Linked DNA regions of Callithrix jacchus. The protein of the gene in region 2 purifies or fractionates together with the protein of the main gene of each other region. This does not show direct contact. Links are inferred from orthologs where the notes say so. Each region holds a gene or a part of one and is shown on either strand. Other genes may lie near its edges.

Region 1 (10,780 bases), on a different chromosome or scaffold from region 2:
GGCTCAAGGCGGGACAGCTCCACCTTCAAGCTTCCGATTGGCTTAGATTTGCTTATCCTCGAGTCCTTATTGGAGGGCAGTTCCTACGTTTCTCAAGAACGAGCGTGGGTCAAAAGTAGCCCTCTTATTGGCCACCACTGCCTCCGTGCGTGATCTCGCGTTACCATTGGCTGACTCGGGAAAGTGGGAAGCGTGAAGGAGGGAACCTGAGGTAGAGGGTCAGGGGTTAGTGAGGCCGGAAGTGAGTGTAATAAAGTTTCTCCGGGGAGGCAGGGCCCGGGGAGAAAGTTGGAGCGGTAACCTAAGCTGGCAGTGGTGTGATCCGGAACCAAATCGGCCCGCGGTGCGGTGCGGAGACTCCATGAGGCCCTGGTGAGTCTTGATTTTTTTCTCCTTAGGTTACCCACTCTTCTACCCCGGAACCCCTCTCACGGGACCCCACTTCCGGTCTTCATTTATAAGTCCCGCCCCCTGAGACCCCTCTCCCCGGAAGTCCCACCTCCCAACTTCGGGGTGCTCCCCCGAACCCCCACTTGATTTTTACTGTCTGTCTCCGACCCCACCCTGTCACCCAGTTTTCCTGGAAGCCCCACCCCCAGACACGTTCCAAGCCCTTGTACGAGAAATCCTTCGTTATTCCTTCCATTCTCCGAAACTCCGCCTCCTAGCAAGGATCCTCCGCTAACTCCTGTCAAAAAGACTATCTCCCTAAAGGGCAAAACCCTGCTCCTCAAAGAACGAGATTCGAATTTGTTGAAGCCACGCCTATCCAGGGCCCCGCCCCTCTGAGACCACGCCCCTTCTGTAATCTACATCTGACTGTCCAGAAAGCCTCCCTGCTTAGAAGTCTAATGCTCTAGTCCTAGGGGACCACGCCCCCTTGGTAGTTTTATCTTTGTGGGACCTAGATCCTCAACTGAAAAGCCTTGATTTCAATCCCTGAAACTCCACCTGTTTATATTTCCCTGTCCTTTCTCTTTTTTGGGGGCCTTGGGATCAGTTTTCCGAGCACTCTTCTGCTCCCCCAAGTGGGAAGTCAAAATTCCCATCTCTGGCTGTGAGGCATAAGATTAAAGGCAGCCGTTTTCCTCTCTTTTTTTTTTTTTTTTTTTGAGACGGAGTTTCGCTCTTGTTGCCCAGGCTGGAGTGCAATGGTGCGATCTCGTCGCAACCTCTACCTCCCGGGTTCAAGTGATTCTCCTCCCTCAGCTTCCCGAGTAGCTAGGATTACAGGCACCCGACACCATGCTCGGCTAATTTTTGTATTTTTAGTAGAGACGGGCTTTCACCATGTTGGCCAAGCTAGTCTCGAACTCCTGATCCACCCGCCTTGGCCTCCTTAAGTGCTGGGATTACAGGCGTGAGCCACCGCGCCTGTTTTCCCCTTTCTTAACTTCCTCTAAGGGTAGAGCTATTTGAAGGGGCTGAACTTGGGGTTTGGCATGAGAGGGAGAGAGACTTGCTCTCAAGACTCCCAGCCTCACTTCCTGGCTTTCCCTTCCTAGGACCAACTCCACCCCAGAAATAGCTCTAGGCTTTACCTATACATCAGTGGATAGGACCATGGATTTGTTGGTGTGTGGCATGTGGGTGTGACAGGAGTGAAAGTTTTCTACTACCAGAAAAACGGTGGTTTGGAGTGGCAGTAGATAATATACTCTTTTTGTTTGATTTTTTTTTTAAGGGACAGTTCAGTCGCTACTTCTCTGTCTCTTCCCCTCCCCCTAATCAGAGATCTTTTCTGGGCATTCCTCCTGGTCCCGTGTGCCCAGCCTTCTCTGCTGGAAACATTCCTGAGGCTTTCGCCATTTCCTGCTACTTCCCGCTCCTCTCCCCTCCTCCCAGTTGGGCTGAGAAGCCACACACAGCTTTTCCCCTACACCCAATCACCTGGACTTCCAGTAGGCAATCTTCTTTCTCCCTATGCAAATTTAAAGAGTTATACTTCTTTCTTTTCTTCTAAACGCCCACACCCATCGGTCATTTTCTGGCTCTGGATACTGCAAGCTCCCACAGAATATCATCTCCACAGATGAGGACATCCTAGTGTGTGTTTGTGTGTTTTGGGGGTGTGAGGCTATGGTGGAATCCTTTCCTCATTCTCTCTATGCCTGAGAGATGGCTGGAAATGAAGTGATAAAATTCCTTCTCAGGATTAGCTGACAGAGTGACAAAGCTCTCCTGGAATGAGCACTAAGTGGAGATGTAAGAGTTAAGTGACCGGGCACGGTGGTACATGCCTGTAAACCCAGCACTTTGGGAGGCTGACAAGGGCAGATCACGAGGTCAGGAGCTCGAGACCATTCTGGCTAATGCGGTGAAACCCCATCCCTACTAAAAATACAAAAAATTAGCCTGGCGTGGTGGCATGGGCCTGTAGTCCCAGCTACTCAGGAGGCTGAGGCAGGAGAATTGATTGAGCCCGGGAGTTGGAGGTTGCAGTAAGCCAAGATCATGCCACTGCACTCCAGCCTGGGGGACAGATCGAAAAGCAAAACCCTGTCTCAAAAAAAAAAAAAAAAAAAAAAAAAAAAAGTTAAGCACAGTATCTAACACACTTTAAGTGTTAATGTTGTTAATCAGGATAATCATATTATATATATAAATCCACAAGTAAATCTAAGGGTAATTCCAAGGTGAGCTTGAGATGATATGTATCTTTTTTTTTGTTTGTTTTGGAGGTGGAGTTTCACTCTTGTCACCCAGGCTGGAGTGCAGTGGCTTGATCTCGGCTCACTGCAACTTCCACCTCCTGGGTTCAAGCAATTCTCCTGCCTCAGCCTCCAGAGCTGGGATTACAGGTACCTGCCACCATTTCCAGGTAATTTTTTGTATTTTTAGTAGAGACAGGGTTTCACCATGTTAACCAGGCTGGTCTCGAACTCCTGACTTCAGGTGATCCACCTGCCTCAGCCTCCCAAAGTGCTGGGATTACAGGCGTGAGCCACTGCACCTGGTGGGAATATGTATCTTTAACTTGTTTTTTTGGTCACTTTCCAGCTTTCCTATGGCATTCTCCAGAAGAGCAGTGGCAGGAAGCCGTGGGTGGCGGGAATGGGATTGGGACTGTTCCCTGTGCCAGCTTCAGCCCGTCTTCTCCTGACATCCCTTTGTCCTGTACTTATTTTTTCTCCTGTCCTTATTGACATGGATGCGTCTTCTGATCTCTCTGTCCTTTCCTGGCGTGTAGCTTCTATGTCTCTTGGAGAACTGTTTCTTCTTTCAGCCAGGCTCCTTCCCAGGTGTGAGGGACACTGTACTCTTTGGTGGGGCTTAGGGCCCTGTAAGAGCAGGGATATGAAGTGGGGTGGTTTGGAGTGGGTGTGGGGACCTGAGGCCTCATTCTCACCCTTGACAATGTACTGTGTTAAGCCTGTGGAAAGGGGAGACTGGATAGTGCTTGGCTGTGAGCCATAGCTCTTTGGTGTGGTAGATGCCGCGCATAGAGAACAAGCTGTGACCAGCATGTCCTCTTGTTCACTTCTTGCCTGGTAGCTTCCTGATGTACCATCCAGGTTGGACTTTATTCCCTGATTTTCACCAGCTTTGCTCTTCCTCTTGACCCTGCTCTGCATCCATTGGGACCACTTCCTTCCCATCCCCACTTCGCTAGCTCCAGTCCACAGCTGTTGTAGCAGAGGATGCTAATGGCCCAGGCTCACTGTATGTGGTAGTGGTGCGGGGTGGCCTGGGCTCGAGAATGGGGGAATTCTAGTGTTCAACCAGGACAGGAAGGGAAATGCTGAGCTCTGAGATCTCCTCCCTTTTCCACCCCCAGTTGCCTCCGTTTCCTCCCTCATTCCTCTCTACTCTCGCCTGGCTTCCTGGCCCCTTTGGTCTGCCTGTGTCCGGTTTCCAGTGACCCGCACCTCCTCTTATCTCCCTCCTTTCCGTCTTATTTCTCCATCCTCTCCTCCCACCCCCCACTTTACTCCTCCCCAGATTACTAGTTGTTTGTATAGGGCTGGGGAGAGTTCGAGGTTGGGGCAGGGTGGGGCTCAGCCCCTCTGAGCCTGTGAGTCAGCACTGTCCTCCGGATTGGTCTCTCTCCTTAGCTCCCCGCCCCCAGGGAGGAGCCAGGCAGCTCTGGGTCCAGCCTGTTCTCTTCTCAGCCAGAGAAGAGGCTCCACGTTGGGCGGGGATGGGGCCTGAAACTGTCTGGGTCTGAGCTGGGGAGCGGAACCCACTTGTCCCTCTCCCTCCCCAGGACTTCTGTGACTCCTGGGCCACAGAGGTCCGACCAGGCTAAGGGCCTGGGGATACCCTCTGCCTGGCCCCCTTGCCCAAACTGGCAGGGGGGCCAGGCCGGGCAGCAGCCCCTTTCTCACCTCAGCTATGGATCTCCTGCCCCCTAAGCCCAAGTACAATCCACTCCGGAATGAGTCTCTGTCATCGCTGGAGGAGGGGGCTTCAGGGTCCACCCCCCCGGAGGAGCTGCCTTCCCCATCAGCCTCATCCCTGGGACCCATCCTGCCTCCTCTGCCTGGGGACGATAGTCCCACTACCCTGTGCTCCTTCTTCCCGCGGATGAGCAACCTGAGGCTCGCCAATCCGGCTGGGGGGCGCCCCGGGCCTAAGGGGGAGCCAGGAAGGGCAGCCGATGATGGGGAGGGGATCGTAGGGGCAGCCATGCCAGACTCAGGCCCCCTACCCCTCCTCCAGGACATGAACAAGCTGAGTGGAGGCGGCGGGCGCAGGACTCGGGTGGAAGGGGGCCAGCTGGGGGGCGAGGAGTGGACCCGCCACGGGAGCTTTGTCAATAAGCCCACACGGGGCTGGCTGCATCCCAACGACAAAGTCATGGGACCCGGGGTTTGCTACTTGGTTCGGGTGAGTGAACATTCTCTCTTCCACTCCCTCCCAGCCCCCGCCCCCCCCCCCCCCCCAGTTCTGCTCACTCCAGCTTGGCTGGAATCTCTTTTCTCCTGCTGTTCTACAACCCCGTTTCAGTGTCCTATTTCCTAAACCTTTCCCATCCCTTCCCTGATTCTGTAGTCCCTTCCCTTCCAGCTCTGCCTGAGCCCCCTTCCTTCTTTTGACTCCCCCACCCCCACCTCTACCCTGCCATGCTTAGCACAATGCCCAGCATGGCAGAAGCTCTTAGTAAGTGTTGGAATGAGTGACTTATTGATCCTCCCCTCCATTCTCCTCCTGCTTTCTGGAGTTGTCACTCCATCCCAGCCAATGCCTGTCGGTCCCCTCCAAACTCTCTCCCCAGTGCGAGGTCCTTCTTTCTAGCCTGCCTTTCTTTCTCTCCTCATTCCCTGTTGTCTTTCACCTTGATTGTGGGATGTAGCCACGGGAAGTGGGCAGAACCTCTCCATCTCTACTTCCCTTAAGGACCATGTGGGCAAAGTCCTAGGGCCCTTTGTGAAGGGGCTGGGGTGGGGGAGCTGCTGACCTGCTGTCCTCCCCTCCTTCCGCTTAGTACATGGGCTGTGTGGAGGTCCTGCAGTCAATGCGTGCCCTGGACTTCAACACCCGGACTCAGGTCACCAGGTTAGTGGGGAGGGAGTGGATTGGGGGAGTCCCGGGGTTAGTGAGGCCACAGGAAAGGGAGGAGGGGAGTGGTCACTTGAGTGCTGCTGGTGGGGGCTGATCTTTGGGTAGTGGAGGGGATTGAGAGAAAGCTGGTGGTAATTCTGTATCTTACTGAAAGGAGGCCCCTCTGGCCTGGATCCTCCTTACCTATCCATCCTTGGGAGTTGTGGGGAAGGTGGCAGAAGCAGCTGGCAGGTAGAGCTGGAGTAGAAAATGGGGGTAGATGGAAGGTTGCTGCTGCCTTTGGGAAGGGAATGGGACATTTGGTAGCTGGAAGTGGGTGGGTCTGTACCCATTGAGGCCCTAACCCAATCAGCCAGGAAGCGGCCTCTCAGTGTCATCAAATATTAAAGGCCCTTAATTCAATCCACCACGACAAAGAGCCTGGAGTGCCCTGGGAGTCTGGCCTGGCTTTCCCCTCCCCCAGCCCTGTGGCAGCCCCAGCTGAGTGGGAAGCAGGCAGGCACTGGGTCTGAGTACCCCTCTTTCCCCAGGGAGGCCATCAGTCTGGTGTGTGAGGCTGTGCCGGGTGCTAAGGGGGCGACAAGGAGGAGAAAGGTATCTGGGGTCCTTGGGGATAGGGATGCAGCTGGGAGATGTGAGGGGCAGGGGGAAGGCAAGTGTGGGGCATGTGGGGGAAGGCCAGAAGGCAAGAGTGTGGTTTGCCGGAGCTGGGAACCCTCACCTTCTGAGACCCTGGGCCCTACCTTAGCCCTGTAGCCGCCCGCTCAGCTCTATCCTGGGAAGGAGTAACCTGAAATTTGCTGGGATGCCAATCACTCTCACCATCTCCACCAGCAGCCTCAACCTCATGGCCGCAGACTGCAAGCAGGTTGGTGGAGTTGGGCAGGGGGACTAGAAACACTGGTGGGGGTGCTAAGGGGAGATCTAGTTAGGAGGCCAAAAACTAGGAAGAGGGCTTGAGAGCAAGAGACCAGTAGGGACGGAGGAAGTGAGGATATGGGATAAGGAACCCAGAGAATGAAACTGGGTGTGAGGGTTCTGGGCCCTGAGGCGCCTGACGCATGGCATTCCCTTCCTTCTTCATCCCCTGCCCTGATTCTCAGATCATCGCCAACCACCACATGCAATCTATCTCATTTGCATCCGGCGGGGATCCGGTGAGTTGGGGAACAGAGCAAAGGTGGCGGGAGAAGAGCAAGGGGCTAGGGATTGGGAAGACATTTATTAGAGAAGTGGGGGTGCTAGGATTGTGGGGATATCTGAAAAGGACGGGGTTTTAGGGGTTAGGAGTAAAGTGGAGCTGTAACATTTTCTGACCTTCCTCCCCAGGACACAGCCGAGTATGTCGCCTATGTTGCCAAAGACCCTGTGAATCAGAGAGGTGAGGCATGGTGGGGAGCACTGGGTGGGTCCGGCTGTTTGAGGAGATGAGCGGGACCTGGGGTCTGCACCCGCTTTTGCTAAGTAGAGCTAAGTAGGGGTTCCTGCTGAGGAAGATGAGGGCCCTGTCTATGCCTCCTCCCAGTGGGCTCAGCTCAATGACCGCCTCTGCTGTGCCCTCAGCCTGCCACATTCTGGAGTGTCCTGAAGGGCTTGCCCAGGATGTCATCAGCACCATTGGTCAGGCCTTCGAGTTGCGCTTCAAACAATACCTCAGGAACCCACCCAAACTGGTCACCCCCCATGACAGGTGAGCAGGTGGGGAGGATGTGCAGCAGCTCTTAAGCCCCAGAACAGGATTGGGAAAGGAGGGCTGCTCTTCCTACACTTGAGCTGAGAGGCTTAGGGAGGGAATAACCTGCGTGCCTCTGCTTCCCCCTTCCTGTGATTCTTCCATTTCCTGTGGCCCACAAGGAAAGACTCTTGAGGCCCTGCTTGCTGCAGGGCCAGCTTTTCCTCCTGTTGCTCATGGTGGAGCTGCAGTCTGAGGCATCCAAGTTACATCTCTCTCTCTGGCTAGATGAGATTTTTCTACTCCCATCCCTCTTGCTTGCCCATTTCTCTGACACTCTGTATTTTAATGCTTCCAGAAGCCATCAAGAATTTGGGTTTGTGAGGATATCTCTTTTCCCTGAGATTAGTGTTTCCCACCTCTGGCCGTGAGGGATAAGCAGTGGCGCCAGGAGGGACTGATTAGGAGAGGTTAAACTATTCTGTAGTGCCTTCTCCCCACCTCACTACATAATGCTTCCCTTCCTTGCTGGCAGATAGCACAGTGATCAAGGGCAAGAGCATTACTTTTTTATTTTGAGACAGAATCTTGCTGTGTTGCCCAAGCTGGAGTTCAGTGGTGTAATCACACAACTCACTGCAGCCTCCATATCCTGGGCTGAGTGATTCTCCCACCTCAGCCTCCTGAGTAGCTGGGACTACAGGTGCATGCCACCACACCTGGCTAAGTATTATTATTTTTTTGGTAGAGGCAGTCTCACTACGTTGCCCTGTCTGGTCTTGAACTCCTAGGCTCAAACAACCTCCCTCCTTGGCCTCCCAAAGTGTTGGGATTACAGGTATGAGCCATTGCACCTGCCCAAGGGCATAAGCTTTAAAGTCAAACCTGAATTTAAATCTGAGTCTGTCACCTTTTAGTTGTGAGACCTTGGGCAAATCTTTTCACCACTGATCCTCATTTGCCTCATCTGTAAAACTAGGAAAGAAAACAATACCTATCTTATGGGGTTGCCAGGAGAATGAAATGATTAGGTATATAACACACTCAGCCTCAGGCCTAACCCATAGTAAATACCGAATACATGGCTGCTGTTCCGTTCCCTCCTCCTGCCCACCACACATTTACGGCCACACCTTCACTGTCCTGTCTCTCAGGATGGCTGGCTTTGATGGCTCAGCTTGGGATGAGGAGGAGGAAGAGCCACCTGACCATCAGTACTATAATGACTTCCCGGGGAAGGAACCCCCTCTTGGGGGGGTAGTAGACATGAGGCTTCGGGAAGGAGCCACTCCGCCCACTGCCCAGACCCCCAGCCACTTGGGAGCTACACTGGTAAGTTGTTTGGATGGAGGCCTAGGGTGGGAGTGGCTGGTTAGGGCCTCTGGTTCCACCTTATTTTCATCCTTGCAGCCTATAGGACAGCCTGTTGGAGGAGATCCAGAAGTCCGCAAACAGATGCCACTTCCACCACCCTGTCCAGGTATGAAGGGAGCCGAGATGGGCAGAGCTGGGGAGTCCTGGAGGCAGGACCGGGATCACTGTACAGCCTCCCTTTCCTCAGCAGGCAGAGAGCTCTTTGATGATCCCTCCTACGTCAACGTCCAGAACCTAGACAAGGCCCGGCAAGCAGGGGGTGGTGCTGGGCCCCCCAATCCTGCCATCAATGGCAGTGCGCCCCGGGACCTATTTGACATGAGTGAGTGCTCCTCTCTCCTCTCTGCATCCCTATCTTCCTACTTGGTTCTGGCCCTTCCCCTGCCTATATCTGCTCTTTCCTTCCCTGAAGTCTGGGTCTTGGGTGTGTATTGTGCCTGCTACCTCCCCTCACCCTCTCTCTACACCTCCAGAGCCCTTTGAAGATGCTCTTCGGGTGCCTCCACCTCCCCAGTCGGTCACCATGGCTGAGCAGCTCCGAGGGGAGCCCTGGTTCCATGGGAAGCTGAGCCGGCGGGAGGCTGAGGCACTGCTGCAGCTCAACGGGGACTTCCTGGTGCGGGAGAGCACGACCACACCTGGCCAGTATGTGCTCACTGGCTTGCAGAGTGGGCAGCCCAAGCATCTGCTACTGGTGGACCCTGAGGGTGTGGTGAGTATGGCAGAGGTGAGGGTGAGGGGTGGCAGAAAGGAAGGTACAGTACCCTACAGTGCATTCTTGTTCCTTCCCCCATTGCTTTCTAGACATTTCCTGCTGGGCAGCTCTCTGTGGGCCTCTCTGCTCTTCAAGGTGTCTGGCATCTTCCTCCAGGGGCTTATCCCTTAGCCTGAACTGTGTCCTTTATAGTCCTGGCACAGGGCCAGGCATGGTGGCTCACGCCTATAATCCCAGCACTTTGGGAGGCCAAGGTGGGCAGATCACTTGAGGTTAGGAATTTGAGTCCAGCCTGGCCAACATGGTGAAACCCAGTCTCTAGTAAAAATATAAAGATTGGTCAGGCACAGTGGCTCACGCCTGTAATCCCAGCACTTTGGGAGGCTGAGGTGGGTGAATTACCTGAGGTCAGGAGTTTTGAGACCAGCCTGACCAATATGCTGAAACCCTGTCTCTACTAAAAATACAAAAACTAGCCGGGTGTGGTAGCCTGTACCTGTAGTCCCAGCTACTTGGGAGGCTGAGGCAGGAGAATCGCTTGAACCAGGGAGGTGTAGGTTGCAGTGAACTGAGGTGACACATTGAGGCTCTGTCTCAAAAAAAACAAAACAAAACAAAACAAAAACCTGTGTGTGGTGGCACACAGCTGTAATCTCAGCTACTCAGGAGGCTGAAGCAGGAGAATGGCTTGAACCGGGAGGTGGAGGTTGTAGTGAGCTGAGATCACACTGCTGCACTCCAGCCTAGACAACAGAGTGAGATTCTGCCTAAAAAAACAAAACAAAACAAAATAAATACAGCCCTGGCTCCTCCTCAAATCTCCAAGCCGTAAGCTTATCAGAGCTAGAAGGCAGTCATCTATATCATCTGTGCCCCTCTTTTGACAAATGAGGAGACCACTCTGAAGAGGTTGTGATGCCCAAACTCAGATGGTTAGAGGCTAGACACTGCAAGTTTCCTTTTGTAAGAAGACCCACGGGCTTCCCCAGCTCCCCAGACTCAGGACTCAGACCCTTGTGCTTCCCCTTACCTGTACTGCATTACTGTTCCTCCAGACTTCCGTTGTTTAGCCACGTGTGGTGGCTCCAGCCTGTAAGCCCAACATTTTGAGAGGCTGAGGTGGGAAGACAAGCCTGGGCAACATAGCGAGACCTGGTCTCTACAAAAGTAAAAAAATAAAAAATTAGTCAGGAATGGTGAAACATGCCTGTAGTTCTGGCTGCCCAGGAGGCCGAGGCCTTGAGGATCGCTTGAGCCCAGGGGTTCTAGGTTACAGTGAGCCATTATTGTGCCACTGCACTCTAGCCCGGCTGACAGAGACCCTGTCTGGAAACAAAAAACTTTTGTTTTCTACAGTAATCTCACCCTCCTTTCCTTTTTCTTTTTTTTTTTTGAGATAGGGTCTCACTTTGTCACCCAGGCTGGGGTGTGTTGGCACAATCACAGCTCACTGCTGCCTTTGCCTCCGGGGCTCAAACAATCCTCCCACCTCAGCCTCCCACCTCAGCCTCCCA
Region 2 (10,796 bases):
TAGATGTATCTTAGATACATAATTCTCTGGTAAGTGTGCCTCCCAAACCCCTGGATATACAGATCACACCCCAGAGAAATAGTCTATGTTTAATTGGAGGGCAGGGAAGAATCAACTGAGTAATTTTAAAATATTTGTCATTAACAATTTTTTTGTAAGTGCTTCTCACTAACTTCAAAGATGTATATGCAATTCTTTTTTTTCCTCTAAAAACACCAATGCCCAAAGGCTCTCAGGATTTGGATCATAAAAGGTTCTGATTCCTTCTTCCATTCTCCATCCCAGCTCTCTGTCTTGTTATGGCTTCTCAATATTTGAAAATATAGAACTGATTAATTAGGAAAGCTGGGGCTTGTCTGACCCATATCTCACCTGACTCCCTGCTCCCTTGGAACTCCATTCCCTAATCAGAGGGGTATCAATGTCAGAAAACAAGCTTTCCCTGATATCCAACCCAAAGTTTCCTTCTGCAAGTCTGATCCAATTACTTCCATGGGCCAGGCTAAATAACTCCTCTCCTTCACTGCCATTCACTCTCTTCAGAGATTCATAGATTGTTACCATGGCTCTCCCTTCACTGCCATTTAGCCCAGCCATATATATTTAATTCTTTTCATCTTTCATCATAAATCAGTCCCTTCAACTGTTAAATCGGCTCTCTGCTCTTCTCTGGACTAGTTCCAATTCTCTCAATTCACCTCCAATAACTGATATCCCTTCTGGGAGCTCTAATTTCCTCTCTCTTTTTTTTTTTTTTCTGTCTCTGCCCACCCCAGAAGTGAAATGGGAAGGGACTGACAGATATGGGGAGTCAAGATCAGGGTATATTGCACTGCATTCATCTCTAAATTGCTCAGGCCTCTCCATATTACATGTAAAATCCCAAGTCATGTATCCACTTTCCTGGAGTAGGGAGAGAGTGCTTACAGGGAAATAGGCCTCCTATCCCCATGAGTCATCATCCCCTAGCCCTCTGCCTGGGTGACGACAGAAACAGATCTCAAAATACCTGTAAGGCAGGATACAAACTGCAGCTGTGGGCAACATGTCAGCCTTGCAGACAGATATCTTTTCCATGATTTGGGCTGTCCTGGGAGAGGCCAGGACTATTAAATACAGTCCCAGAAACTGCCTCTTCACCTCTTCTCCATGACTGGGTGCATTTTGGAACTGCCTCCGACTTGAAAGGCTCATCCCATTTATGAATTCACAGCAACCAACAAAGAAAAGCCATTAGCATTTCATGCATTACAAGGCCTCTCAGACATCTTGTCTTCTCAGACAGTCCAAATCACAAACAATGCAAAGGTTTTGCTTTCTTCTAACTGGTGCTTTTTCATTGTTGCTATTTTAGTCATGGTCCTGCTCAGGTTTAGGAAGCTGTCTTTGGTCTGAGCCAAATGGGCTGCTCCAGGCCTCTCACCACAAGAGATGGAAGAGCAACCAGCTCTTTCCTCCCCACAGATAGCCCCATTAGCATCATTGTGTACCTCCAAACAAGACCACAAGTCACTTAGACAGACACAGGAAGAAATAAGCAGAGTTGTGTCTACTTTCCCTCTGTATAATTGAAGAGCCCACATCATAGAAGAGTTAAATGCCTTTTCTATAAATAAGAGCCTATATAAAAACAATAAATCCATTTCTCCAAACATGATAAACAGCAAAATCAATCCCAGTGTCAGAACCTAAGCTTGAATTTTCATAAGAAAAATGAATGGAACCATTATGATATATGTTGTCCGAAATACAGAACACGGTATAACAGGGTGTGTCTACTCCATGGGGATGTCTGCAGTGGAGACTACAACTGAATGAGTTTGGGGAGGCAATGACAACATGAGAGAGGCTAGTCCTGCATGGCCAGCTGCCTAACTGCAGACAGCATATGTCCTCAGAGTTAGGAGAGACCAGGCTGTTCCAAGTGTGGTCACTACAAGGCCTGAAGTGCTTTTCAATAGGTTGTCTGTCTCTCTGGAGGTCACAGGGAGCTCATCCAGCTACACTTAGTGTCTTGTTTGATCCTATCAATAATCATTTGATCCCAATCCTGCTGAAAAATGCTTGGCCAAAGTTTCTAGCCTTTTAATGGCAGAATCCTGGCTCCTACTGAAACCAGCATTCCTAGATGTGTCAGTGATGCATAAGGGCTTGGTCCAGCTGCCAAATGTACTGGGCCCTTAAGGGAGGGCATAGGATGCCCACAGTGCTTCCCTACAGCCAATAGCAGAGAAGCCCTTGGAGCACATGCCTTTCTACATAAACCTCCCCACTCGGCAGCTCCAACTCCTTATTTAAGACTTGAGTATAGCATATTTTTCAAAGGCATTAAGCATGTGACTCTTCAGAGACAGCCACTGATGTCTTCATGCAACCTACCTGTTTACAGTAGGCAGGTTTGGGGATGTAGAAATGAGCCCTTTTACCTGTCACCAACATCTGACAACAGCTGATATAGACTGCTGAATTCTATGGTCATTTGAAAAAAGGCAATGGGGAAGCTCCAGAGATGCTCATAGGCATGAAATTAGAAGATAATCTGCATTTCCAGAGAAGTCAATTTTATATTCATTACTAAAACATTGGGCACTAAAACAGAATGTTGCATGTGTAAACCACACAAGCCACAATGACATTAAAGCCCAGCTGTTCTTTACAAAAATATCTTTGGTGGAACAACAGTCACAGTCTTCCATCTCAGTTCATCAAAGGCACTATCAGACTCATCGGTGCCTTTTAGGATGGACTCTATAAATTCCAGCACTAAACAGAAAGGGCTCCCTTTAGGTGCCAGTGCCACTAACACTAAGGCTGAAATATGGATCTGCACTCTGTTTTTCTTGGGAATGACATACTAGTATGTTTTCTGTGCAATGTCTAGGGAACCTCAGCTTCTGAATATCCTTGCTGCATGAGAGTGCACGTGTGTGTGTGTGTGTGTGTGTTGGAACAAGAATGCAAGATACTTGTAGCTCTACAATGGACCCCTTTCATGGCTCTCCATCCAATTAATTCTAGACATTAGTAGCCAGTGGAGCATAAGAACTTCATTTATTTCTGATGATGAGAATGATAGAAAAGGAGCTCGGTTTGCTCAATGGAATTTGTGTAGGCTTTTTAAAAGCCTGATTTCTTTTCTGTGCCTTTCTCATTCATTTACATTGTATATTTTATTCACATGTCTTTCCCCATTTGTCTTACAAGAAAAACATCCATTAAAAACTACCTGGTTTTCCAGTCAAAGGATACTCTGGAAAGAGTTAGAAGTAAGTGTCTGCACACACACACCCAACTCAGTGAATATGGGAAGAAATGACGGAGTAAATGAAACTGAAAAATGTCATTTTAGGAGTCTCCATCAGGGAGATCTGCAGTGAAACAAGCCTGCCACCGACTATCATCAAGAGCTGCTGCTGCAGACATTCAAGCTAAGAATCAGAGGGGAACAGAGGAGGGGGGAAAAGGTAAGAAAAGCAGGAAAACCAATGATTGCTTCTCCCTAGCTTCATAGTGACTCTTCCAAAGGAAGATAATCTTGACAACTTTCTTCCCTTCTTCCACATCTCCCTCCAGTCCTCTGTTCCTTAGTTTCTCTGGGTGTTTCCCAGCAACATGTAAGAAAAAGGATGAGTCTGAGAGTGCACAGCACACTGGCTAGGGGTGAGAGAGGGAAGAATGAATTAATAAAGAAGAGACAATCCCTGGCAATCTCTGCCCAAGCCAACATTTGAGAGGGGGGCAGTTGGGTGAGATTCAATAACATAAAGAGAAATTCTATATTCCCTGAGAAGACGTATCATATTTCCCAAATCCGTGCTGGCCAGGAACAAGGGGGAGAGAAGGGCAACAGCTTTGACATCTACTGCTAAGCTTGGAACCTAGAAGTAATAGGGGCATTTCAACTGTCCCAGGGACCCAGTAAGAGGGGCACCCAATTTTGGCTCAGACCACGTGTTAAGTCCAGAGAATAAGGCGCTCTGCCAAGAGTAGGAAACTTTTCTCCCAACTTGGTTGCTAAAGAGGAAGTAAGACCCCTGAACTGCGTTCAGGGAGAAAACAAGAAACTGCAGTCTGACTCAGGAAGGAGGTTTGCAGGAGGAAGTAGGGCTAAGAAGTAGAAGCTGAGGTTTTTAGTAAGTGGGATTACTTAATGGTTACATATCAGTGTGAATAAAAACACTAAATCCCGGCACGCTCAGTCGGGAGCTGCTCACCAGTCCCGAAGATCTGGAAGAGAAGGCGGGGCTGGGAGGCGCGGATTGCCGCGGACAGCCTTCCCTCTCTGCCCACTTCCGACGCCTTCTTCTCGGGCATCAGCCGGATTCTCAGTCGCCCTTCGCCCTGGCGAATCCACCAACTGAACAGCTCGCTGAGGTTGAACTGGAGCAGCCCCGCAGTCGCCTCCCCCGGGGGCCCAACGCAACCCTCCAGGATCGCCTCCTCGCCCAGCTCCAACACCAGCTGCTTGGCGCGCCGGAGCTTGCGCACGGAGCCGCCCTTCAGCACCCTGGACAGCGTCCGGGCCTCTGCCGGGGCGGGTGAGCCCCAAGTCCAGGAGACCCCGGGGGGCGGCCCCAGCAGCCTGAGCAGTGGGGCGCAGTCCAACGCTAGCGAGCCTCGTGCCTCTGGCCTTCCAGCCTTCAGCTCCGAGGGGGATGGCGGCAGCAGCAGGTCCCGGGCGTAGACACGGAAGAGCGAGGGCACCACGAAGTCCACTGCCAGACTCTTCCTCTGCAGGCGCGAGTAGCTGAGTGGCTCCCGGGGCTGCAGCTGCAGCCCCGCAGCTGGGGACCCCAAGCGCTGGCCCACCCCCATCCCGGACCCCAAAGCTGCGGTGGAAAGCAGCAGCGGCAGTAGCCACAGGAGCCCGATGGCTCCCATCCCGCCGGAGGGGGCCGTTTACACTGCTCTCTGGGCCCAGCCTCGCCCTTCGCAGTCCCCCAGATAGGAAGACGCTCTGAACAGTCCTTGGTACTCAGCGGCTCCTTCCACCAGATCTTCAGAGGTCCCTGCGTGCACGCGAGTCTCTTGCTTTCCCTCAACTGCACGGAGGGGAGCTGGAGTCTCAATGAAACAGAGCTGGAAGCTCAGGGGCGAGTCCAGAGACCCTCAAGCACGCTGGGCTCACGGGCTGGGACCCTGAGCCTCCGGCTCGCGGTGCCGAGTGCCGCGCCCCCGTCTGTAGCTCGCTGCGCTTGATACAGAGGAACTACTATGGTTGAAGGGAGGTGGCAATTGGGTACCGTCCTCTCCTGCCCCCCGCGGTCAGAGCTGGGCTCGGTCCCCTCTCGGGGCAGCCTCCAATCTTCGCAACTTTCCGGGCTGAGAACAGTGCTCCTAGCTGCTGCACACTGTCCTGGCCGGCCCCTGCGTTCCTTCTGGCACCTCTGAGCACCTCTGCCGGGTCTGGGCGGGAACGGAGGGCGGGGGCTGCTGCCTTCTCGCGCACCCTCAAGCTACCCTCCACTGCTGCAGGAAGGTTTCGGACTGCTCCACCCGCCGAACTTCTGGGCGTGAATCCGAGCCCCCGTGCTGCGCAAGTTTGCAGCGTCCTTGCTCTCGCCCGCGCCTCAGCTTCTCAGAGTTCGCAGGCACCGGAGCGGCCCGGCGGCAGCAGCGGAGAGCGTTCAGGGCAGGAGCGCCCGAAATCTTGCCGCCCCCTCCTCACCCATCAGCAGCTCCCGCGGCTTCGGGTGTCCGGCCAGAGGGCTGCTATAAGGCACCTCGGTGCCCCGCGACCCTCCGAACAGAGGTGGCAGGAGGTGCCAGCTGCTACCGCCGCTGCCACCCCCAGAGCCGCTGGATCGCATCTGCCTGGGCGCCCGCCACTTGCAGCTGGCGGAGCCGCGAGTGCGCGCCGGGAGGGGGCGGGGCCCAGAGGGGCGGGGCTCGCTAGCGGACTCCGAGAGCCACCCGACCCACGCAGTCCCTCCTTGCCCCGCCCCACCTGCGCCGCCAACCAATGGCGTGGCTCTGTCGGTTCCTATGCAAATCTGCAGCGGCCTCAGCATTCATTGAGAAAAGCAGTGAGCCCGCCTCACCCGCCCTCTGTCCCTCTCCAGTCTCTTGTTCTTCCCTTCCTCCAGATTCGCTGCCCTATTTCTCTGCAGTGTGAAAGGGAGCAAATGCAAGAACTGGTAGAGGCCTTTGCAATCAAGCACTCTCCCTAATTATGCATTTAAGAGATTAAATGGGTCCGACTTCGGAAAAACAGGTTCCAGAATTAAACTGGAGGCGAGGGGAAGGGAGGAGGGAGTGAGGAGGGGGTGGCAGCGCGACATTGGCAAATCTGAGAACAGCTTGTAATAAGGCCCTGAGACAGAACATTCTGACCCTTCTATTCGAATGCATTCCTGGGAGCTTAGGAGTCCCGCATCCACACAGGAGAATCTGCGAGTAGAGGGGGCAGAGACGGATGGATGGTCATGGTCTGGCAGAGTTATTCTGCAGCTACAAATACATTTCAGGCCGCCGTCAGTCACCCCGTTTTCTCATAATGGTGTCTGAACATGTGTAACCTCCCCTAGTCCTTGCAAGATGAATATTTTCATTCCAGTTTTACAGATGCAGAAACTGAGTTGCAGATCATTTAATGGCTTGCCAACAATCTTGGGAATGAGTGTTCAGAACCTTAGGTCTTTTTTACTCAACTGTAAAGGCTGTACCTCTCCTCAACACACAACTCAGATAATAGCTGTTTTTATAACAAGTGGTTCACTAGATCCTCAGACAAAACCACAGTCTTTGGGTCACACAAATACCCTTGGTTCCTTCTTGAAGGCTGATTGTCAGGCCTTGTGCTGGCTGTTGGAGCTAAGAATAAGGCAAGATCCTCTCTGGAGCTCACACCAGGCAGGTAGCAGAGGAGTTTTCTCATAGAATCAGAGCACAATGCCACATTGAACCTCCCTCACTGAGCTCCTAGGGGCCGCAGTAACTTGCCTTTCACCCCACAGGAGATAGTGGCCAAGTGGAATCTCTGTTCTCCCAGGAGCTGGGCTCTTTCCAGCTTTGTGGCATTGCCTTTGGCAAGTGTAAGACCCAGTAACTAAAGAATATTGATTCTCGGAATGGCTTTCTTCCTGCTCTATGTTTGGCAACTCACTTAATTTGACAAGCATCCTCCCTCTCTCTGGAACTCACACTGGATACATTGACTTTATAAGTTTTAGGGCAACGAATTATCTCACCCAAGGAGAAGAAAATATGTTCCTATCTTGGTAAAGGAAGGGAAGAAAAGAAAGAAAAGAGGGAAGAAAATGCTATTGTAGTTAATACTTTCCTATATGTACGGTATGTTTAATTTTCATTAGATTTTTCTGACATACATACTGGAAAAGGAATTTTTTATCTGAAATATAAAAAAAGACTAAAACTCCAGCCTTTCCCTCTCTAATTATCTCTACAATTCTGGACCAAAGGCCTCTAGTAATTTGTTAATAACTGTGAATCGTCTGCTGCACCCAATGGCCACTAGGGGGCTGCAGAGACTTGAAACCTTAAGTGAGCTGCCAGGGTTTAACATTCTCTGATAATGTCCATGTCCATTGCTTTTGCACCTCATAAACAGTCTCCATTAATTCTTATGCTTTCATACATTCTCTCAAACTTTTCCCAAGGAAAAAAAGGTGCCTTTTCCTGTAGATTAAATCACACTAAATCTCAAAAATTTTCTTTTTTGTATAATTGTTTTAAAGGAGGCAGGAATTAATATTGATAGTCTACCAGGCACTAATGCATGCATCTGTAGATATGTGGGATTCTAACACATCACACAGCTTTTTTGGGGAAGGGTATATGTTATTATGTCTATTACATAGATAAAACAGCTAAGGCTCAGAGAGGCAAAATAATTTGCCCAAGGTAAAACAGCAAGTAAATAACAGAGTTCAAATTCAAACCAGTAACTCTTTTCCTCCAACAATTACACAACCCACTAAGAATAATTAGGCCCTTAACTCATGCCCAAAGTTAAAACTTTGGCATGCTATCCTATATAATTTCCATCAAGAGGATGGGAGATGGGAAAATGAATTTGAGAGTATGTAGGGGAAATAGAGACAGAAAAATAAAAAGTGTGAGCAATGATAGTTAACACTTATCATGGTCTATTTCAAAAACACTTTCATTCACTATCTCACTTAGTATTCCCAGTAACACTCTGAGAAGAAGTAATAGTATCTTTACTCTACAGGTCACAAATAGAAGCTCAGGGAGGATAACACCACAACAAAACTACACAGGTAACAAGAGCTGAACCTGGATACCTGGCTAAGAAGTTCACACTTTTAAATTCTGCATAACCTCACAATAGCGAAAATGGGATGAGATAAGATGGGTTGAGGTGAGCCCAGATCAACAGAAGAAGAAGCTGAAAGTCCAAATCAAAAAGATGTGGAGTGGAAGAGGCAGACATAGATAGTGACATAGATATCGGAATCTTCAAGGAGACAATTAAGTGAGGTGGGCTGCTCTGAGTCACCTTGCAGATGACTTGGGCCATTGGGCTGGGGGAGGAGGAATGTGAGTTGACCATGTACCAAGAGAGGAAGTGGTCAAGAGTAGGACACTGAGACCACCAACACCCTCCTCAGGAAATTCCCAATTCCGGGAAAAGGAAAAATGAACAACTCAGTCAAGGAGGTACTCAAATTCTCTATAAGAGAAGTAATAATAAAAATGACATGACAATTTAAGCAGTGTGACTTAAGGTAAAACACATCTCACAACTGCAGGATCTGTCTGGGACCTGTGGGATCAATCAAGTTAGGCATTTTGCTGGTCAACAGAGATTCCTCGCGTACCTAATGTATGCAAGATGTTGTTCTATGTTCCAGCTTTTTGCTCTGGACAAAAATAAATGGTCCTTCACCTTAAGAAGCTTACACTTTAACAATGGGAGAGAGATAATAAATGTGCAAGCACATAAAGTAATTTAAGATAATAATAGGTGCTATAAAAACAAAATAGGGCCATGCAGTACATGATGACTTGGGGCAGCAGGTGCGGGTGCAGCCCTAGCTCTAGCTTCATAGTTGGAGAAGCCCTCTTTAAGGTGAGATGAAGTTCTGGTTGGTGGGAAGAGGCAATCATGAAAAGACTTTGAGAGAAAACTTTCTAAGCAAAGGACTATCATATGTCAATAGTCCTGAGATGAGAAGAGGTTTGCATGTCCAGGAGACAGTAAGAAATCAATCTAGTTGGAACACAGTGAATAGAAGACAGAAAGGTGGAGGGGCAGCCAAGGTCTAGATCTTCTACTGTTGGATAAGCCATGGTAACAAGTTTGAATTTTATTTTAATAGCAATGAGAAGACACTACTTTAGTGGAAAGTCTCATTCTCTGATTTATGCTGTAGACCTGAACTGTCCAATATAGTAGCCATTAGTCATATGTGGCTATTGAACACTTTAAATATGTCTAATCCAAACTCAAATGGGCTCTAAGTATAAAGTATACATCACATTTCTAATATTTAGTATAAAAATGTATAAGATCTCTTCTTAGTATCTTTTCATATTGATTACATGTTTAGTGATAATATTTTGGGTATATCAGGTTAAATAAAATCTATCATTCAAGTTCATTTTACTTAATTGAATTAATTTTATTTTTTTAATGTAGCTAGTATTCTGGGCTTAGGCAAGAGTTTTAAACTCTTAGCCTTATTCCTCCTGTTTAAAAGTGGACTATAATCTCCTGACAAAGTTGTTGTCACAATGAAATATAGCAAATGTGAAAATTCCTAAGCGCATAAGTACCCATACCTTTGCTAAGCTAAAGCAAGTCTGTAATCATGGTCAAATGTCAAAAATGAGGACAGGATACAGTTGTATTCTGGCTTGGGGAAACCATGTGTTACATGGGCCTGATGGTGACCAAGCTAACCTTCACTTTCTGGCTGCCTTGGGATGGATGAATTGACCAAGAAGTGATCCTGAATAACAAACTATTAAGTCTGAGGTACCCAGGCACCGGAGAGAGAGGAGAGAGAGGGGAGAGAGGGGAGAGAGGGGAGGAGAGAGAGGGGAGAGAGGGGAGAGAGAGAGGAGAGAGAGGAGAGAGAGGGGAGAGAAGGGAGAGAGGGGAGAGAGGGGAGAGAGGGGAGAGAGGGGAGAGAGGGGAGAGAGGGGAGAGAGGGGAGAGAGGGGAGAGAGAGAGGAGAGAGAGAGGAGAGAGGGGAGAGAGGGGAGAGAGGGGAGAGAGGGGAGGAGAGAGAGGAGAGGGGAGAGGGGAGAGAGAGAGGAGAGAGAGGAGAGAGAGGGGAGAGAGGAGAGAGGAGAGAGAGGAGAGAGAGGGGAGAGAGGAGAGAGAGGGGAGAGAGAGGGGAGAGAGAGAGAGAGGAGAGAGGAGAGAAAGGAGAGAGAGAGAGGAGAGAAGAGAGAGAGAGGAGAGAGAGGAGAGAGAGAGGGGGGAGAGAAGAGAGAGGGGAGAGAGGGGAGAGAGGGGAGAGAGAGGAGAGAGAGGGGAGAGAGGGGAGAGAGGAGAGAGAGAGGAGAGAGAGGAGAGAGAGAGAGAGAGGAGAGAGGAGAGAGAGGAGAGAGAGAGAGAGGAGAGAAGAGAGAGAGAGGAGAGAGAGGAGAGAGAGAGGGGGGAGAGAAGAGAGAGAGAGAAGCAGGAGGGAGGTGAGGAGGAGAAGATGGATAAAAAAGGCAAGAGAAAAATCAGTAAGTAGACCTGAAACTAGACATCAGAATCCACTTACTGCTAAAACATGTGGAAACCCATGACCAAAGGAGCTTACCTTGGGCCAAGAGCAGGAATTGGAACCCAGAAGAAACATTCAAATGAACCA

Evidence for each region.
Region 1: the proteins of ALK (region 2) and SHC1 purify together in Homo sapiens (affinity purification with mass spectrometry; 3 studies listed by BioGRID and IntAct, with this or other methods). This does not show direct contact. The link is inferred for Callithrix jacchus from reciprocal best matches to the Homo sapiens genes ALK and SHC1.

Annotation. Positions count from the first base shown.
Region 1 is NC_133519.1:15,379,143-15,389,922, reverse strand, and holds SHC1 (SHC-transforming protein 1), read left to right. Parts: upstream 1-4,114; 5' UTR 4,115-4,335; coding exon 4,336-4,830; intron 4,831-5,428; coding exon 5,429-5,499; intron 5,500-6,035; coding exon 6,036-6,099; intron 6,100-6,253; coding exon 6,254-6,373; intron 6,374-6,608; coding exon 6,609-6,662; intron 6,663-6,834; coding exon 6,835-6,886; intron 6,887-7,068; coding exon 7,069-7,195; intron 7,196-7,730; exon of another isoform or gene 7,731-8,331; coding exon 8,332-8,509; exon of another isoform or gene 8,510-8,587; coding exon 8,588-8,657; exon of another isoform or gene 8,658-8,738; coding exon of another isoform or gene 8,739-8,741; coding exon 8,742-8,873; exon of another isoform or gene 8,874-9,024; coding exon 9,025-9,437; downstream 9,438-10,780. UniProt on the Homo sapiens protein: Signaling adapter that couples activated growth factor receptors to signaling pathways. Participates in a signaling cascade initiated by activated KIT and KITLG/SCF.
Region 2 is NC_133515.1:85,091,217-85,102,012, reverse strand, and holds the start of ALK (ALK tyrosine kinase receptor), read right to left. Parts: upstream 5,813-10,796; 5' UTR 4,882-5,812; coding exon 4,215-4,881; intron 1-4,214. UniProt on the Homo sapiens protein: Neuronal receptor tyrosine kinase that is essentially and transiently expressed in specific regions of the central and peripheral nervous systems and plays an important role in the genesis and differentiation of the nervous system.